Linked DNA regions of Elephas maximus indicus. The protein of the gene in region 1 interacts with the protein of each later gene in a biochemical or structural test. Links are inferred from orthologs where the notes say so. Each region holds a gene or a part of one and is shown on either strand. Other genes may lie near its edges.

What was found. The genes of interacting proteins can lie anywhere in the genome.
Region 2: the proteins of RAN (region 1) and NUTF2 form a complex in vitro, tested with the Homo sapiens proteins (3 studies listed by BioGRID, with this or other methods). The link is inferred for Elephas maximus indicus from reciprocal best matches to the Homo sapiens genes RAN and NUTF2.

What each region holds. Positions count from the first base shown.
Region 1 is NC_064840.1:1,474,284-1,483,655, forward strand, and holds the start of RAN (GTP-binding nuclear protein Ran), read right to left. Parts: upstream 3,816-9,372; 5' UTR 3,722-3,815; intron 3,193-3,721; 5' UTR 3,183-3,192; coding exon 3,147-3,182; intron 2,638-3,146; coding exon 2,553-2,637; intron 2,471-2,552; coding exon 2,345-2,470; intron 951-2,344; coding exon 763-950; intron 584-762; coding exon 413-583; intron 312-412; coding exon 267-311; 3' UTR 1-266. UniProt on the Homo sapiens protein: GTPase involved in nucleocytoplasmic transport, participating both to the import and the export from the nucleus of proteins and RNAs. Switches between a cytoplasmic GDP- and a nuclear GTP-bound state by nucleotide exchange and GTP hydrolysis.
Region 2 is NC_064839.1:34,291,666-34,301,830, reverse strand, and holds the start of NUTF2 (nuclear transport factor 2), read right to left. Parts: upstream 4,018-10,165; 5' UTR 3,839-4,017; coding exon 3,799-3,838; intron 1,386-3,798; coding exon 1,258-1,385; intron 1-1,257. UniProt on the Homo sapiens protein: Mediates the import of GDP-bound RAN from the cytoplasm into the nucleus which is essential for the function of RAN in cargo receptor-mediated nucleocytoplasmic transport.

The sequences.
Region 1 (9,372 bases):
CACCACTGAATATTGTGATGTGACTGTAGCAGTCTTATATTTGAAACTCAGGAAGGAAACAACTGCGTTCCAAAACAGCTAAATATGCAGGTCCAAAAAAATGAAGGTTTTTTTTAACTGCCACATTCACTCCGAAGCCCATTCATCTCCTTCAGCATCCCAAAGATTATTATATAGCTAAAGTGGCAAACACGCTGCACCACTGACATCACAGGACAGTTGCCTATAAAACTAGACTTCTGACGCTGGGCTCCAGCTTCATTCTCTCACAGGTCGTCATCCTCATCCGGGAGAGCAGTTGTCTGCGCAACCTAGAGAAAAGAGAACAAGAGATTATTAATGTGGCAGGTTAAAGTCATTTAAAAGTAACATGCCAAATCTGAGAGCATTAACAGAAATTTTAACGTGATACCTCTAAATCATGCTCATATTGTGCTGCCAAAGCTGGGTCCATGACAACCTCTGGTGGGGCAAGAGCAGGCATGGCAACAAACTCCAAGTTAGGATCTCCAATTAGTTTTCTAGCAAGCCAAAGGAAGGGCTTTTCAAAGTTGTAGTTACTTTTGGCAGAAATGTCATAGTACTGTTTAAAAAAAAGTAAAATTAGTGTTTTTAAAAAAGTTACTAAAACAATTATTCAGGGGACATTCCACTAAGACAAAAATTTTCAATCCATACATAAAAAAAGACATTTATAGATCAGTGTCAGACCTATGCACAATTTTACCTAAGAATCTTAACTCAGTAAGTTAAGAAACATACCTGAAGATTCTTCTTTCGGTGGAAGACGATGGATTTTGCCTTAACTTTCCTGTCCTTGATGTCCACTTTGTTGCCACACAACACAATGGGGATGTTTTCACATACTCGAACCAGATCCCTATGCCAGTTAGGCACGTTCTTGTAAGTAACTCTCGATGTTACATCAAACATTATAATGGCACACTGGGCTGGAAGGAAAACTTGTAGTGATTAGAACACACCTAGGAGTTTACTACACAGATAAGAAATGCTAACAGCCATGGACCAGAGAGACTGTTATCTCAGGCCTGCTCTGTGTCATCTACAGCCCTCTATTTCAAGTGCTCTTTCAATTTTGAAAATCTTAAATGACTATAACAGTATAGTTTAAAATTTATTTCTTTATTTTATTGAGCTTTAGGTGAAAGTTTACAGCCCAAGTTAATTTCTCATTCAAGAACTTATACACGTTATTGGTTTTTTGACATCGGTAGCAATCCCCACAATGTGACAGCACACTCCCCCTTTCTACTCCAGGTTCCCTGTGTCCATTCATCCAGTTCCTGTCCCTTCCTGCCTTCTCTTCTTGCTTTTGGGCACCTTTATATTTTTTTAAAACAGCTTGAAAGACATGACTGTATAAATTTCTTCTCCTATACCTCCCAAATACTTCATTAACACTGCCTCATTCCCCAGGAAGTATCTGAAGTAGATTAAGGGCCTAGCATGGAGCCTGGGAATCCTCATTAAAAAAAATAAAACCTCATAAAATTTATTGAATGTATACTAGAAAATAGTATAGTTCTATTTCAAAAACCTCAGATAAATCCATATATTGACCTGTAGGGACGGTCATAATATAGTTAAAAAGGCAATAAACTACAGACTATTTACAAGCATGATATAACTTCTTTCTTAAAAAACAAACCCTATGTGTTCATTTGCACATGGTCAGAGCAAAAGGTGTAGACATTTTCAAACAACTCTGCATTAGGAAAGTGAGATTTCAGGAAAAATTAGTATTTTGTTTATTCATCTTTGTTTTGTTTGGTGCCACAATGACCATTTATTTCTTTTACAGTTCTTAAATACTTTGGAAAAAATTCTGTAAAAACTGGTACAAAGGAGAAATTAGTTGTCTTATACAACACTTGTAAGATATAGAGCCTAGCTCCTCCGATCCTAGTATCTGGTCAAAGTGGTTTTAACATAACAAACAAGAAATAATCCTTAATAACCACCAAAATATATACCTGAACCCACATTTCCAAATACTTAAGTTGCAGCAACAGCTTGTCTGTTGCTTACTGTTACTGCTTTTAAATTTTGAGCCTCGGTATAAATCATAATTTTGTTTTCTTTTTCAAAATAACACCTAGCATGACAAAGCATGAAATAAAATGACACACGACAACTTTCGTATTTCCTCCCCCTCCACCTATAAAACAATGGTCAGCTTGCTGTAGGCAGCATGTCTTTTTTTAATGTAATTATATAATCCCCAGTACACCCAGAATTAAGCCAAGTATATGCTGGAATGGACTTTGGACACTAGAATACAAATTCTTTCCAAAACTACTCAAGTCACAGAGGAGACACCTACCTTGGATATAATAGCCATCTCTCAGTCCCCCAAATTTCTCCTGACCAGCTGTATCCCACACGTTGAATTTAATGGGTCCTCTGTTAGTATGGAACACAAGGGGATGGACCTCAACACCCAAGGTGGCTGAAATACAAACATTTCAGATTAGTCACTGAATTATTCACTTCATAAAAATGTCCACAGACCCTTTTCTCCCCCCACATACCTACATACTTCTTCTCAAATTCACCAGTCAGATGACGTTTCACAAATGTAGTTTTTCCAGTACCACCATCACCAACCAATACGAGCTGTTGGGATACAATTTTCTTTCAAGAAACAAACTCAAAATATATTTCACAAGCCTGGAATCACGGAGTTGTTAGAAGTGCCTGGACAGTATTTTAACTCAGTTAACTGATATTTACACTTAGTTATTACGTGGCCCTGTTACATCTAAATGCTGTGAGTAAATCACACACGAAGACAGTTTTCATATAACGTCCTCCCCTTCCACCCAAATGGGGGTCAACTCCTCGGAAATAGCATGTCTTTCCCAAGAATTATGTAACCCCCGGTACGGGCGGCCCTACTGAGTTTCCTCACCCACAAACCAGGGCTAGCCCCCCTCCCCCGTCACGGAGAGAGAGAATTAAAGGACCTCGTGCGGTGTCAGCACACACAAAGCGGCCGGTCAGCAGGCGCTGGCAGGGACCGAGGGATCCCCTCAACAACAGCCGCTGCCCCGGCCCCTCCTGCCCGCCCCCGGCCAGCACCAGCCCAGAGGGGCCACCACCAGCCCAGAGGGGCCACCACGTACTTTAAACTGGACTTGGGGTTCTCCTTGGGCAGCCATCGTGATGGTCCTGCAAAGGAAGGGGGACGGCGTGACGCGGCCGGGTCGCCACATGGCCGGCCCACCCTGGACACCCCACGTGCCGCCGCGGCCACAAAGGCCGCGGCCCATTCATCCCGCGGGCGGGCGGGCGGGCGGCCGAGGAGGGCGGGGGTGCACGGGCGCCATGGCGGCCCTTCCCGACGCCCGAGACGCCGGCCGGGCCTGATGGGCCCAGGGCTGGGCGCGGCCGAGAGCGCCTGGTCACGGGGCCGCCGGGCAGGCCGAGGCGCAGCCCGCACCCCCGGAGGCCGCCCCGGAGCCTCGCCGCCCGCTCGGAGCTCCGGACGAGAGCAGGGACGGCGGCCCCGAGGCTGTGGGGAGGAAAGCGCGCCAAGGAGGCCGCCCGCCCGCCCGCCCGCCGTCCCGGAGCTAACCGTCTCCTCAGGGCCGCCGCCTCCCGCCCTCCGCTGCCCTCCGCTCGCCGCTCCGCCACGGCCCCGGCCCTCCCCGGCCGCCCGCCGGCCCTCTCCACCCCAGCGCCCGCTGCCCGCCGCTACCTTCGAGAAGCGTCTCCGGGCCCCGTCTGACTGAGGGATGGAAAGATGGCGGAAGCGCAATTCAAATGCCCGGAGACGCAGACGACGCCGGCGCGCGCTCAGGGCGGGGCAACGACGCGACGCGCTCCCACGCGGCCCCGACGGGAGCGCGCACGCACGCAGGCGGTGAGGGCGGCCGTAGCAGCCGCCGGGCCTGTGGGGCGGGGCTGGCGGCGCGCAGGGTGGGCGCGCGCGCTCCCGCCGGCCCTCGCGGTCCCGTTCCCGGCGGACTCCGGGCGCATGCGCCGACGCGCTCCCGGCGCGCCCAGCTCCCGCCGTGACTCAGAGGCGGAGGACGGGCTGCGGGCCTGGGCGGGAAAGTCGGGGCGCGGCCGGCGCACGCGGAGCACCGGGCCCTCAGTGCCGGGGGCTGGGGGCCTTGGCGTAGCGACCCACGCGTACCAGTTGTGCGAGCGTTCGCCATGGTGCAGGAGGCCCCCGCTTGTCCCGGGCTCCGAGCCATCCCTCCCTTGTCTCCCACATGCTCTCCCCGACCTTTCCTGTCACCACGTGCTCCCCGCAGCGTGCCCAGGGCTTAGGGAGGGTCTCAAACACTTGGAGAATGAACGAACCAGTCCTAAACCACTACTAATCCAAACCAAAAAGGACCCAAGCCCCTTGCCTTCCGGTCCGTGCCGATTGCTGGCGATCCGCTGTCATGTCAGAACTGGGCTTCATAGGGCTCTCAGCGCTCCATAGGGTTTTCTTGGCTGGTTTTTTTGTTTGTTTTTAATCTTTATGGAAGCCGACTGTTCTTAGACGCCATATAGTTGATTCTGACTCATAGGGACCCCTTGTGACAGAGTAGAACTGTCCCATAGGGTTTTCTTGGCTGGTAATCTTTATGGAAGCCGACTGTTCTTAGACGCCATATAGTTGATTCTAACTCATAGGGACCCCTTGTGACAGTGTAGAACTGTCCCATAGGGTTTTCTTGGCTGGTAATCTTTATGTGAGAACATGGCCAGGTCTTCCTCCTACAGAGCCACTCAGTGGGGGGGTTCTAACTGCCAATCTTCAGGTTAGCAGTGGAGCGCTTAACCATTGTGCCACCAGGGCTCCTTATGGAAGCTCATTAAAAACCCATTGCCACTGAATGGATTCTGACTCGGCAACCTTATAGGACAGAATGGAACTGCCCCATTGGGTTTCCAAGGAGCGCCTGGTGGATTTGAACTGCCGACCTTTTGGTTACCAGCCATAGCTCTTAACCAGTATGTCACGAGGGTGTCCGGAAGCCCAATGCCAGGCCTTAATTCTGAGGGGCCACTGGGTGGGTTTGAACCACCAACCTTTAGGTTAATAGCTTGTCACAAACTGCTTGTGACACTGAGGGACTTTACTCCCAATCTAAACAAAAACAAAAAACTCTAAACCCATGGCCATCAAGTTGATTCCCACTCATGGCGACCCTGTAGGACAGGGTGGAACTGCCCCATAGGGTTTTAATCGACTCCACGGCAGTGGTTTGGTTTTTTGTTTGTTTGTTGAATCTTCATAGAAGCACACTGCCATATTTTTCTCCTGAAGAATGACTACTGGGTTCCAACCACCAACCTTTTGGTGAGCAGCCGAGTGCTTAACCGCTGCACCACCACAGCTCCTACTCCTAATCTAACCCATTGCCGTCGAGTTGACTCCAACTCATAGCGACCCTATAGGACAGAGTACAACTGCCCCACAGAGTTTCCAAGGAGCACCTGGTGGATTCAAACTGCCAACCCTTTGGTTAGCAGCTGTAGCACTTAACCACTGTACCACCAGGGTTTCTTCCACAACTAATCTAGGGCCTACCAAAACCAGGTCTACATCCCATTCACTCCAGAGTTCAATCTTCTTACTCCCAGGCCTCCATCAGCACCAATACCAGTTGTCATGGAGTCCATTCCAACTCATGGGGACCTCGAGTATGTCAGAGTAGAACTGTGCTCCGTAGGGTTCTCAGTGGCAGGTCTTTCAATGGAGGCACCTCTGGGTAAACTGAAATTTCCAACCTTTGGGTTAGCAGCAGAGGAAGGGGTGAATGAAGCAAGGATTGATAGTTACTTTCCCACGATGAAACACAAGCTACTTTTGTCTTAGCACATCTGATCAGTCAGTCTTTGTGGTCATGTCTAGCCAACAGAACGAGGAAATTCTGTGTTTGGACCTTGGCAGATGTTCTAATCCTAGTTAAAAACCTGGATGCAGTCAACAAGTTTTTGGGTTCCTGACACTTGTAGGGAGAATGTGATGAGCAGTCCGGACCAGATTGTGCACTGACAGAACTCACATGCCATGGGGTTGCCTACCTCATAGGGTCCGCAAGCTCAACAAGCATTAGCTGTTATCATCACCCACTTTTAGTAAGGATGTGGACAGAATGGCGTCCTCCAACCTTGTCTCCTGAGTCTAAAGTCAGGTTTTGGCATCTGTGTAGAGAAGCACAGATTTTTTTAACTGACGTATTGGAACCTCCTTCCCAATTCATTTCTGGCAGCAAGAACAGATAGCTAGTCACAGAGATCGGACTCGCCAAGTTCCCCCAGAAAAGATTTCACCATGAGGACTCTTCCTTGGCCAAAGAGAACCCAAATGACCAAGAAGAAGTTAGCATGTAGTTTTAAGCACACCTGTAAGTAAGTATATTGGGAACTCAAGTGATGCAGATTGGACACAACACATCAGAGGACCTGCCTGCTGGGAACTCAAGTCCAAGTTCCCTATAGGACCCTCAGGAAAAAGCCAAGTGAAGACTCAGATGCTGCTGGCGGGAGTGCGAATTGTTACGGCCTCTTTGGAAAACAGAAACTAGTAAAACTGAAAGTATCCTTAGCTGTGGCCCTGGATTTCCATTTCTAGGTAGGTGCACTAGAGCTAATCTCCCATGTTTGCGCTGGGAGACACAACGCCGACTCTACCTGAACACAGGAAGAGTAATCCTAAATAGCAGCGTTACAGTTTAGTAAAAATCAGAGATTTAAATATATAAACGTACTCAAATGTTAATGCTATTTCATGTTGAAGGCTAATGGTTAAGCAAATAAAACATTCACCAGATACACGGCCAGGCTATTCCATTTATTCAATTTCCACAAACTTTGTTGACTTTGCAAACCATTAAGAAGCTGTCCTTAAAGACTTCATTATTAACTCATTCACCAGTCAAAAATACCAAATGAGATATTTTCCTTATCTGACACTCAATTTTCTACATAGGGGGCACAACAATGAACAAATTACATGTTACTTCTTAGTCACTATGAGTCGGAATTGACTTGACAGCAATGGGTTTGGTTTTTGGTCTCAGCATTAGCGCCAGCGTTATTTTCCTTAAAAGCAAAATGGTGAGATTTGTCATATTTCCATGCAACATGGTTGACCAAGCACCTCTTTCATCTAAAGACCAGATTACATGGTCAAGCGTGCACATGTTGCCGTCCAGTCCATTCTAACTCATAGCGACCGTATAGGACACAGTAGAACTGCCCCATGGGGTTTCCAAGAGGCAGCTGGTGATTCGAACTGCTGACCTTTCAGTTAGCAGCTGAGCTCTTAACCACCGTGCTACCAGGGCTCCCAGATTAGTACAGAAGGTACAGATTAGTGGCCTATCTACTAACTCCAACCCTGAGAGGTGTTGTTTGACCAGGCTGGGTCACAACATGTTTTATATCTGAACTGGTTGCCAGCATTTAAAAATGTGATGGTTTTAAAATACACCCACAAATTCTTTGATACTCCTCCCCTGAAAGGGTTGAGCCTCATTCCCCTCTCCTTGAGTGTAGGGAGGTCCAAGCGACTCATTTCTAACAGATGGCCTATGTCAGAATGGACAGTTGTGACTTCCAGGACTCAGTCATAAAGGCTTTCACCCTGCTCCTTGGATCACTCACCCTGAGGGAAGCCAAATACCATTCTGTGAGGACAAGCAGGCAACCTATGTGTCCTGTAAAATTTAACCTTGCCCTTGGCTGTGAGGAGGTAATCTCTAGTCTCTGTTTGCCTGGGGGCCTTGGGTCTCATTGGATACTCTAACAATGTGATTTCGGGTGGGGGCTGGCCACACCTGATAGTCTTAGGGTGGGGCTAGATCAGAAGGACCTACAGAGTGACAACAGTGTGGAGGCTTTGGGGCAGCTGCATCAGACAACCTGGAGATTGAGATCAATCCATCAATCAATCAATCCTCCTACGTAAAGGAGTCCCCAAAACAACTCTGAACACCAAGGCTTGGGTGAGCCTCCCTGGTCCTCAACACTCTGTGCGTGTTGTTACGCGTTGACACCCAACCCATCCTGACTCCACAGGGAGAGGACAATGGAAGCTCCTTGTTTGGTACATGCCACTGCCTGGCCTTAGTAGGTGCTCAAACAATATTTCTTGAATTAGCCCACGCACCCTTAACTTCCTGTTGTTGTTAGGAGCTGCTGTTGAGTCGGACCCCAGAACCCCGCACCATTGCCATGTGTGGTTGCAGATCAGAGCATTGTACTCCATGTGGTTTTCATTGGCTAATTTTTCGTAGTAGATCGCCAGGCCTTTCTTTCTCGGCTATCTTAGTCTGAAAGCTCCACTGAAACCTGTTCAGCATCACAGCACACAAGTCTCCAATGATAGATGGGTGGTGGTATGCCTGAGATGCACTGGAGAGGAATTGAACCTGGGTCTCCTGTGTGGAAGGTGAGAATTCTACCACTGAACTCTCCTGCCCTCAACAGTATATTAGATAGCGATGATTGCTAAGGAGCAAAATAAAGCCATGAAGGAAGATTCAGTGTGTCAAGAGGAAGGAGTGGCCATGCAGGTAGGGTGGCCAAGAGGCCTTCACTAAGATAGTGATGTTCGAACAAAGACCCGCAGAAGGTGAGGGAAGGAGGCACGGATATTTGAAGGAAGAGAATTCCAGGCAGAGGGAATAGCATGTGCAAAAGCCCCAGGGAGAAGCCTACCTGGAGTTGTCAAGGAACAGCAAAGAGGCTAGGGTGGAGAAGATGAGCAAAGGAAGAGGACATGATGAGCTCAGAGAGGTTGGGAGGGGCTCACATTGGGACTCTGGGCATATTTAGGGCCTTACGATGAGCGTAAGAGCCTCCCGTGTTAGGGACAACTAACTCTGGGCAAATTTAGGGCCTTACGATGAGCGTTAAGAGCCTCCCATGTCAGGGACAACTAACTCTGGGCAAATTTAGGGCCTTACGATGAGCGTAAGAGCCTCCCGTGTCAGGGACAACTAACTCTGGGCAAATTTAGGGCCTTACGATGAGCGTAAGAGCCTCCCGTGTCAGGGACAACTAACTCTGGGCAAATTTAGGGCCTTATGATGAGTGTTAGAGCCTCCCGTGTTAGGGACAACTACTGCTTCTTTGAGCAAGGGGAACTTTAAGAACAGACGCTTGGCGGTTCACGATAGGACAGACCACTCTCTCTGAAAGACAGTTTTCTTAGTAAAGTCTAAAAAAGGATAGAAAACACCCTAAGAAAACATAAGTGTATACAGGACTTCTCAGAGGTTGAGAGAACCCTGGGCCTCTTTTACTATGTATTTTTAAACAGTATACATAATAAAAATTCCAGCATATATATATATATATATATTTATGGTCACAAAAATTATGGTACATTTTAAACGC
Region 2 (10,165 bases), on another chromosome or scaffold:
CTGAGTCTCAGTTTTATAATATTCAAAGGGAAATGTGCTGAGATTTTTATGAAATGATGTACATAAAGTGCTCTTTTAGGACCCTGCTAACTCTCCTCTCTAGGTCAGGCCTGCTTTTATTGATTTTAAGAAGAAATGAGGCATTGAGCATTATGCTCTTTTAAGAACTAACTATATGGAATCAAATTGACAACAGCAACTCAAAAGGTTAGATAGGAACCTTAGGAGGCAGTGAGTTTATGTTAACGGGCGGGGGGGAACAACTCAGAGGGTGAGAATGGTTACACAACTCAAAGAATGTAATCAATGTCACAGAATTGTACGTGTAGAAATGATTGATGTATGTTTTGCTATGTTTATTCTCAACAACAACAAATTAAAAAAAAAAAAGACGTAATAAGGCAGAAGTGCCAGGATTCCACAGATCAATTCAAGTATTTTTTTTTAGTCTCTACCTACGATAATGAGGATCAACTCATACCTGTGCTGGACTTGGCCTCCACTGGTAAAATACTTTTCTTTTTCCCTCAACGGACCCTGACTTTCTGGAGGCAGAGACAGGAATTTGCCCATAGTCCAGTCAGGCTCTGAGGGTATGCTTGGATAACTCCTATCACCCCGACCCTGGGCAGACATGCTAGACAGTAGCCTGATCAATCACATTTCTGTGATGAAATCTTGGGCAGTGTCAAATACAAGTAGTTTTTGGTGTATAAGGACACCATTAAAAGAGCAGCAAACGATGCCTGCATAGAAGGGTTTCTCAGGTGACACACCAGTCTCCCTGGGCTAATCCTGCTTGTTTCCCATAGCATTCAAGGGCTTTTCAACCCCTAACAGGTAGCTACACCCAGGGCCTCCAGGAGAGCTCAGCTTTGTACTAGGATGCTCAAGGTTGCTGCCATCACAGGGCACCATGATCCCTGGCCTCTGCCCACTGCTGTCCCAACCTGAAACAGAGGTATGTCCCAGACGATGTGCCCTGCCAGGGTTCAAGTCACATGAAATGGCAAGGCCAGAATACACCTTGCTCAGTGTACCAGGACTCCCCACTCTTATGGAAGATGATAAAGTCGACAATGTTTAGACCAGATGGCTGGCCCAGACCTCAGGCCCCTTATCACATAGACAGAAGCTCAGAGGGTCCAGCCAAGTCCAACCAGGTCTGCCAGAACTTGTGCATGACCTGGATATACTGGCCCAAAACCCAAATTGATGCCCTGTGGCCCCACACTGGCCCTAGAGCTAGAGACTTACGTAAATTGCGCCTAGTTGGGTTCTGTCGTTATCAAATAACTGGTAGTAATGTTGAATGAAGCTGGATCCAATCTGTTCCCAAATTGGCTTGTCTCCCATTCTGGAGTGTTGCCCAGCCTTGCTGAAACCTGCAGGACCAGCAAGAGACAAGGAGGGAAGAGTTGGTACTGCACAAGCAGGAGGGGGCTGGCCGCTAGCTCTTCACTGACCCCTCAACCCTCCCTGGCCTCCTTGAGCAGGGAGTACTTTGCTGAGGTCTGGTCTCCCAGGAAATACTGAAAGGCCCTAGGGAACTGGTAAGAGACTCCTCCAAAGCCAAACCAGTGGTGGGAGCCTGGAAGTGGTATAGACTCAGCCTTTCCTTTGAGGACCTCCTGGTTGACAACACAAAGGGGTGTCAGGGTGGTGAAGCATACAAGATACAGGCCAGGTGCTGAGGGTTGAGCCAGGGCCAAGGAACAGGCCCTTCTGTGCCCACTAAGGAGAGGGGCCTTTAAGGAGGAGCTAAGCACTCTCTCCGTATCTTTTCATTTAATCCTCTCAACAACTTGCAAAACCAGAGTTATTGCTATTCCTCCCACTTTGCAGACCAGGATCTACTGGATGTCTGAGTACGGAGTGTTTCTATGGCAGCTCTCAGGCCCCCTCCTCATCCTGTCAGTACTCAGCACTCAGGCCCCCAACACTGCCCCAGGGCTGTGCTGACAGGTATAGAAGACCCCGTGAGAAGGGGAAAGCTGGCTCCCCAAAAGCCACTTCCAAAAAGAACTGCAAGTGACCCCCAAGTCAAGAGAGCAGTTTAAATCTCTGAGGCTGGATGACATCCACCCTGGCCCGTTCTGGGGCATTTCTTCATTGATGAGAGTGACCCACTGAACCACCCCACCAATCCCTACTGCTTCAGAACTAAAGGCATGAGTTCGGAGGCTCAGAGAATAGCCAAGAAGTGTGAGAGGGGAAATAGAGGTTGTGGGAGAGGGAAGCATGTCATGTCTTCACATCTCTCCTTTTCAGCACTGCCTCTATTCTAAGAAGCTGGCTCTTTTGGGTCGCTGAGGGGAGCCCTCCTTCCCAAAACTACAGAGACCATGGCCCCAGGGTGCTGGATGGGAAATCCAAGTACAAGATGAGAGAGCCACTCTGCCTTTGCTAGGTAGGGGCGCCACATCTCGCTGCAGGATGCCATGACAGCCACCCCATGTGTCATTCTCTAGTTGTCTCCAGCTGTTGGGGAGCCATCCTCTCTGCCCTGATAACAGGACTCTGAACCAAAGCAGTGAGGAGGAGGGCTCAACTCTGGCAGATGATAATTTGCAGTGGTGGAAGCTGATGCAAGTCGCTCCTCTTCTCAGGCAGGGCCTTAGCCTCCTCCTCTGTAAGATGGGGATGTTACCCAATGCTGCCAGTGGCTGTAAAGCTTCACTAACTAAACCTGGAAAAGCCCTCAGCTCAACATGCTAAGTGCTAGTTTCAGCCCTCGTCCCTGTGACCTCACCCAAGGCCAGAGAAGGCAGAGGGGAGGGGCAGTGTAGGGGACAGTGGCTTATCACCAGCCCAGCCAATCCCCAAGCATATGACCAACAATGCAGCCAATAAGGGGCCAGGAAAATGAGCCAGCTTTATTTTAGGTCCCTTAGGAGGTAATGGTACTAAAAATAGAACCTCTGTGCTGGGATGACTAAGAAATGTCCAGGAAAGTCTAAAACAAGCAGAAGAGGAGAAAGCTAGGACCCATCCATGCCTGCTACACAGGAACACAAAGTGTGTCCCAGTTCACATTCAGCCAAAAAGCAAACCAACAAATGGGAAAAGCATGGGACCAACATCTAGTCTCAGCTACACTGTCTTGGTCACATACGAACTTGAGTTTTATAAGGTAGAGCACAGATCTGTCTGCCCCCAGCATCTCTGTCCTTTCCATCCTAGGATCCACTAAGCTTAGTTCACTAACTGAGGCTTGCCCCTGCTGCGTCCCCCCCTCACCCCAACCAAGACACCCTGGCAGCCCTGAGAGCTCTTGGCAAAGGACTGGGCTAGGCTGGAGGAATGGATGAGGGCCATCTCTCCCTCTGCCCTTAGCTCAGAGCAAGACTGGGCAGCCCTTGGTGGAGGTCTTAGAGAAAGAGTATGCCAATCAGGAGAAATAGCATCGGCAAATGTCTGGGGGCATGAGAAGAAGAGATGAGAGCAAGAAACCAGAACACTGGAGATGAAGAGTAGAAACTAACGGTGGAAGCTGATCTGCAGACAAGAAAAGTGCCACCATGTGCTGGGATGGTGGGGCAGAGGAAGTGTAGGAATGTTTTTTCCTTTTTCAGTATTGCTCTTAACGGTGTAATAAATTTATAGTACAAACAGAAAATCTATTTGGCAGGGAAGAGGGATAGAGGGATAAAGAGGGATGGAGGTTCCTTTGGTCTGGTGGGGTGGGCAGGGCAGAGTGGACTGGAGTGAGCTCTCCTGAGGGACAGGCCAACTTTGGGTTCCCAAAGTTTAAGAAGGAACCTTTGAAACTAGGGGCCCACTGTGGCCAACACCAACCTCTCAGAGGCCTGCTTGACCTTCCTGTGTTTATTTCCATGTAGTGATCCCACAGCCAGGGGGTCAGATTCCGCTTTACAGATAAGAACAGTGAGGTGCAGCGAAGTGGAGGTCTTGCTCCAAGCTTTCCAGTACATCATCGCTGACAGCTGGGTCCTTCCTCTGGCCAAGGCCAATGCTTTCCTTCTGCTAACTCTGGGCAACCCTGAAAGCTAAAACACAAAGCTGGCCATGGCCCTCCCCTGGCCTTTGGGTTAAAGGCCAAACCCCTGAGCACCACCATCCATACTTGTCCCTGCCTCCCTAGCCATTCCCTCCTACCTTGATCCAGATCCACGCACAAACACCAGACCCCACTGGGTGCTCATCCACTGAGTTTTTGCACAGGCAAGTCCCCCTGCCGGGATGCCCTCCCTTCCCTCATCTGCCTGGTCAGTTCCAGCTCCTCCTTCAAGTCACATTTCAGGCCCCAACTATTTGGGGTCTTCATCCCAGACTCAAACACTGACCTCCAACCCCACTCTAGGCTGTGTTCTCCTTTATGTGTAAATCCATCTGCCACACCCTGGGGCCACTCCTCTGCCTGGGAGCTCTCTGGCTCTGGGCTCCATTGTGGTTCTGGCCCACCTCCCCCAACCCCTCTCCCCCCAGAGTACAGCAAACTGCAAGATTTATGGCTTCTGGTTCCAACTATTATGCTAGATCCACCTTCCACCTCCCTCAACTCGAGACAGGGAGGCAGCATTCCGGAGTCCAAAAAAAGAATCAGGGTGCAAATCCCCCTTTCAATCCCCATGCTATATAAAGGAGGGGTTCAGGCCAGGCTGGCAGGGTGCTCCCCAGGATGGCCAGCAAGCCCTGACCTTGTTTCTAATACATTTACTGTGTAAATAACATGCCCAGGCAGAAACAAAACGTCAAGGCTCAGTAGTGGGTTGACCGGAATGAACAAGAAAAGAAAAAGTGGAGTGAAGGAACAGGCTTTCTCACTAGGGGAAGAGCAATTAGGAGTATATAGCAAGGTGTAGGAAACCCTGGTGGTGTAGTGGTTAAGTGCTGCGGCTGCTAACCAAGAGGTCGGGAGTTCAAATCCACCAGGCACTCCTCAGAAACTCTATGGGGCAGTTCTGCCCTGTCCTATAGGGTCACTGTGAGTCGGAATCGTTGCGACGGCAGTGGGTTGGGTTTGGTTTTGGTAGCAAGGTATATACAAATTTTTGTATGAGAGACTGACTTGATTTGTAAACTTTCACTTAAAGCACAAAATTTAAAAAAAAAAAAAAGTGGCCTCACACCAAACTGGGGACTGACCTTCATGACGGCTTCTCCTACAGCTCTCCCAAGAGGGCTGCCGACCACACCATCTCCTGCTTTACCCCAACAGTCCGCAGGCCGACTAAGACCAGGCTCCACGAGGAGCAGAAATGACCTCAATGACCTCTTGCCCACTGAGCATCAGCCTTTGCTGACCATTAGGTCTCTATAGTTGCAAAGACCCTCTAAAGAATGTCTTAAGCATTGTGGCTCTCACCCCAAATTTGCACAGATACGGAGGTGTCCCAGCCTTGTGAAAAATTTCAGGTTGTTTCAGACTTGAAGTTCAGTCATAGGCCCCAGGTAAAATTTCTGGCCCAGGAGATCTATTAAGCAACAAAAAAACTTCATTTTTATCCTCAAATTCTGGGTCAGTGTTTCCAAAGACAAAGCTCTTGAAATATCAATGTCTGGCTGATGACTACATCCCATTTTCACTAATGCTTACTAGGTGTAGAAATGTACTAAGGGCTTCATATGCATTTGCCCTAAACACCACCCTGTAAGTAAGGTACACTCCATGTCAGGGGTGGTCAGTGAGGTTAGCTAACCTGTTCAAGGTCACCAGTCTGGTAGATGGTGGAATGGAATAACCTGGTTTAGTGGACTCCAGAGCTAGGACTCCCAACAATACCCTGGTCTGGAGATAAAAAACAGTCCACACCAGTGAGAGCAGTGTTCCTGGCATGTAGGGCTGAAGCCAGGGCCTCTGAGAGGGGCAACACAGCCCTGAACCAGGGCTTCTGCCTCCAAGCAAAGGTACCAGGCAGGAGATTTCCACACTAAACCCACCAGCCCAAACAATGGATGTTTTCATGGGGGATGACCTCACAGCTTTCCCAAACCTTCAAAGTAGAGGTAGATCCTGGCCTAGCCAGACCTGGGGCAGGGACAGCGGTAAAAGAGCAATGGGAAAGGGGATGTCATCACCTCCAGGCTGGCACACAGAACAGCTCGCGTGCCTGACGGGCCATCACCAAGGCCTACAGGAGACGCCAGCAGATGTGCCAAACCCACAGTGGGGCCCTTGAAATTAGCTACCAACCCGGTTATGCTGCAGGCCAGGCCCTAAAAACAGCCCTGCTGCATGGGGCCTAGGAAAAGCTCCTCTAACAGAGAGACTGACAGCCAAACACGGCTTAAACCTCATGGGCTTCATTCAAGTATGCAAGACCAAATGGGCAACACCTGCCCAAAAGCAAAGAAGGCAGGAAGGGGCAGGAAAACCAGACGACGGTCATGGAGAACTCAGGGTAGAAGGGGAAAATGAGACAGTGCTGACACACTGAACAGACTGCAACCAATGTCACAAAACAATTTCTGTATAAATTTTTGAATGAAAAACTAATTTGCACTATAAACTTTCACCTAAAACAACAAAATTAAGAAAACAAAGAAAATAAATCTGTAAATTGTTTAAAAAAACAAAAGAATGGTACCTAGGTCCAAATGTGATATAAACATATACAATTACAGTAAATTATTATTATACATATAAATTCTTTCAATATTTGATTAAGAAGGCTGCGCTAATAAAGCACAATGGAATGAAAAAAAAAACCATGGGCCCATGTATTGGAGAGGAGAGGAGAAAGCTGTCACCAAGGACAAGAAGACACTGCAGGGTGTCTCTCCTTTAGGAACCAACTGCTCCCCTGATTTCATGGTCTGAGGGGTGCTATGTATCCTGTCCATGGCCCTCCAATGATTTCCTCTTGCACCAGGAATACAGTCCTAACCACTTCTCCTGCTTATAATGGCCCTGGGCCCTGGGTGACTGGACCCTACCAGCTCTCCAACCTCATCTCCTGCCACTCGCTTCCTCCCTCCTCTGCAGCCACATTGGGCACCTTCCTGTTTCTGGAACATGCTGGGCCTGTTTTCACCCTAGGACTTTGCAACTGTTAATCCTTCTACCTGGATCACTCTTCCCCCTAGACCATCACGTGTCTTGGCCCCTTGTCATGTGTCAAACGTCACCTCCTCAGATGCCTTCCCTGACCACTCGGTCTAAAGTAGCTGCCCTAGTCAATCATTTTACCATCTTATATCATCTTCTTAGCATTTATCACTGTATGAGATCATCACACTTACATATTTACTTACGATTTGTCTCCCTGACCAGGGCAGGCGCCATGTCTACCATAGTCACCCCTGTTTCCATGGTGCCTGGCCCAACCCTCAAAATCTATTTGTTGTCTAAGTTTATGAATGTGTAGGAGGTTGGCTGAGAGGCCGGCCCTTCTTCTCTGAAGGAGTGAGTCCTCGGCAAAGCCAGGTCAATTTAAGTGGCCGAGAGACCCATTTCCCCTCCACCTACACCTCTTGTCCAAGTAGTCAGGAAATAATCTTCTGTTGTGCACCCAGTCATCTGTCTGTCTGAGGTCATGTGGTAAGTGGGGCCTGGCCCTGACTCTCTTTCTCAGTCCCAAGGCCCTGCACACCTGAGGAGCAGCTGAGGCTGAACAGCAAGCACACAGCCCCACGCTCAAGCCTGGTCTCTAGTTCTGCCTCATCTCTCCTAGTAGTATCACCCTCTGACACAGTCTCCTCATCTGTAAGGGGAAATCAACTGAAGGTATAAAGCAGGACCAGCTGTTTAAGGAGTTATTGCCATTTCCTAAGGGAACACTAGGTCAACAGCAAGCAAGAGGATGGGTATATTGGCCTCTTTCAGGACATAGTACACCATGAAGCAAGCTTCAACTAGGAATGGCAACTGCCCAGCCCACAACTCCCCTGCTTCCCTGAAATCTGCAGAGTAATCAGCCAACGTCTGGTGCCCAGACGGCTGGTCAGGAAAGAATAATTTCCTGGGGCAGACACCTAGGGCCTGGGCATTCCAGCACCCCAAGGGCCTTTTCCCCTTCTTCCACTTGGAGAGAGGGCTCCAGAGCCACTGAGCTGTCCCTGCTGTTCCAGAAGCCAAATCCCGAAGCCTGTATTCTGGTCTCTCTGCTCTGCACTTATTCACTCCCTGGGTAATCTCCCTTTCCTGGGTGGCTGAGACAATCTCTGGGGTTCCTGTCCTTCCACACAGCTTGCATCCATGAGCTGACTTCCCAGGCTATGAACTTCCCAATCAGGTACACATGGACTTGGCTTCCCCAATGGGGCCTGAAGCTCCTAAGTGACCACCTCTGTGGTTAGCCATCACCACGCCTGCCCAACACTGCTGTGATACCAAGATAAGTAGGCAAATAAACGGATGAATGTGGCGTCCACAGGGTGGTGGAGGGAGTGCCTCCTGTAGCCGAATACTTAATGTGTATTCTCTCATTTGGGTCTCACAACAAGCCCTGTAAAGCTGGTATAATTACCTTCATTTTGTAGATGAAGCAACTGTGGCTCTAAGAGGTTAAGAGAGAATTCAAGATCACAAAAGGCCACTGGCATAGCCAGCATTAGAATGACCACAAAATGGCCTGGAATGGAACAGCTGAGGGCCAATGGGAGTACCAGAAAGCGCACAGGTGGCAAAATCCGGTGACAAGGAACAAAGCCCCAGCCTTTTTTTCCCCTCTGAAATCAGCAAGCTGTACACTCCTCGAGATGGAAAGCACCTGGGTACATACTCAGCCCATCAGAGCAGGTTTACACCACAGGAACAACTGAGAACTTGCATTCTCCTGTGTCTGAAACTATCCCCAAGTGGAACTAGTTTCTACACAGAAGTCCTTCCAGGGGGGCAGCAGTCTTTCCAGTTTCTGCCCTGGTGAGACCCAGGGCCTTGGATAGAGTACCTGAGTCTTCAAGAAACAAACATCCCAGAATCCCCTAGTTTTCTGAGGCTACTGAAGCAGACAGCCCTTAGTTCTCCATCTCCAAGGTAGCACCCTCTCCAGCCTGGGGTCTTAGGGAACTGGAACACAGGAGGTACCCGCAACAAATAAGGATTAAGGCCCAGAGCAGTGAGGGGAAGTTCTCAACCTCAGCAGGTCAGCCAGCAGTGGGAGCCCTGGGGCCTGTTAGCAGGGCCATCCCTGGCCCTCCTGTGTCCCTGTTTCCTGCCACTGTGAGACATCCCCAGCCACAATCAGACCTGAGCAATCGTATTCTACCCTGAAGAGCCCACTCCAACCGACAGGGTGAGAACAGAGATGGCGACAGGGTGAGAACAGAGATGGCGCAACACAGGCCTGATGACCAGGATGAAAAGAATGGTCACATCACATGGGCCTGGAAGTCACTTCAGGAATAACCCACACACAGCTGCCTCCCTCAGGGAGGGATTCAAGAATTCCTGCCACATGTGGTCAAAGCAAGTGAATCACAGAATGCCAAAGGTGGGGAAAGGGTAACCTACTCAAATCCAACCCCAAGCACAAAAACAACACCTTCAAAAAGACCATCAGGTAGTTCAGCTCAATGCCAGCCCATAGAAATCTTACCCAACTTTTAATGTCCATCCTGTGGAACACTTTTTAGAACTATCTCACTCTCCCCAAAAAAGGACACAGACTCAAAATCAAATCCACTGCTGTCAAGCTGATTCCAACTCATAGTGGCTCTATAGGACAAAGAACTGCCCCACAGGGTTTCCAAGGCTGTACATCTTTATGGAAGCAAAATGCCACATCTTTCTCCCATAAGCGGCTGGTGAGTTTGAACCACCAACCTTTCAGTTAGGAGCCAAGTGCTTAACCACTGTGCAACCAAGGCTGCTTGGATGAGCTGAACTGGACTCTAATACCAGGATTATCAGCATTTCTGATGCCCCTGCTGGCTCCTGTCCCTACCTAACCCCCCAGGTCAGGGCCATCTGTCGAAGGGACACCCAAGGAGCCCCCTTGGCCAGGTTTGTTGGACCTTCCACCTCTGGGAAGGGTTCCTCTGTCTCTCACCCTGGGAAGACACCCTGATGGGTACCACTTCTGAAGCGGCTACTCAGCACTTGAATAAACGTGACTATGAAAGAATCTCAGCGAAAAGAGCAAAAGCCACAAACCCAGTCTCCAGTCAGGGCACTGGAAGGCCACAAAGAAATGCTGGTGAGATTCCCACCACTGTGAGCACATCCAGCAAAGATCCCTGGGGAAGGCAGTGGCTAGAC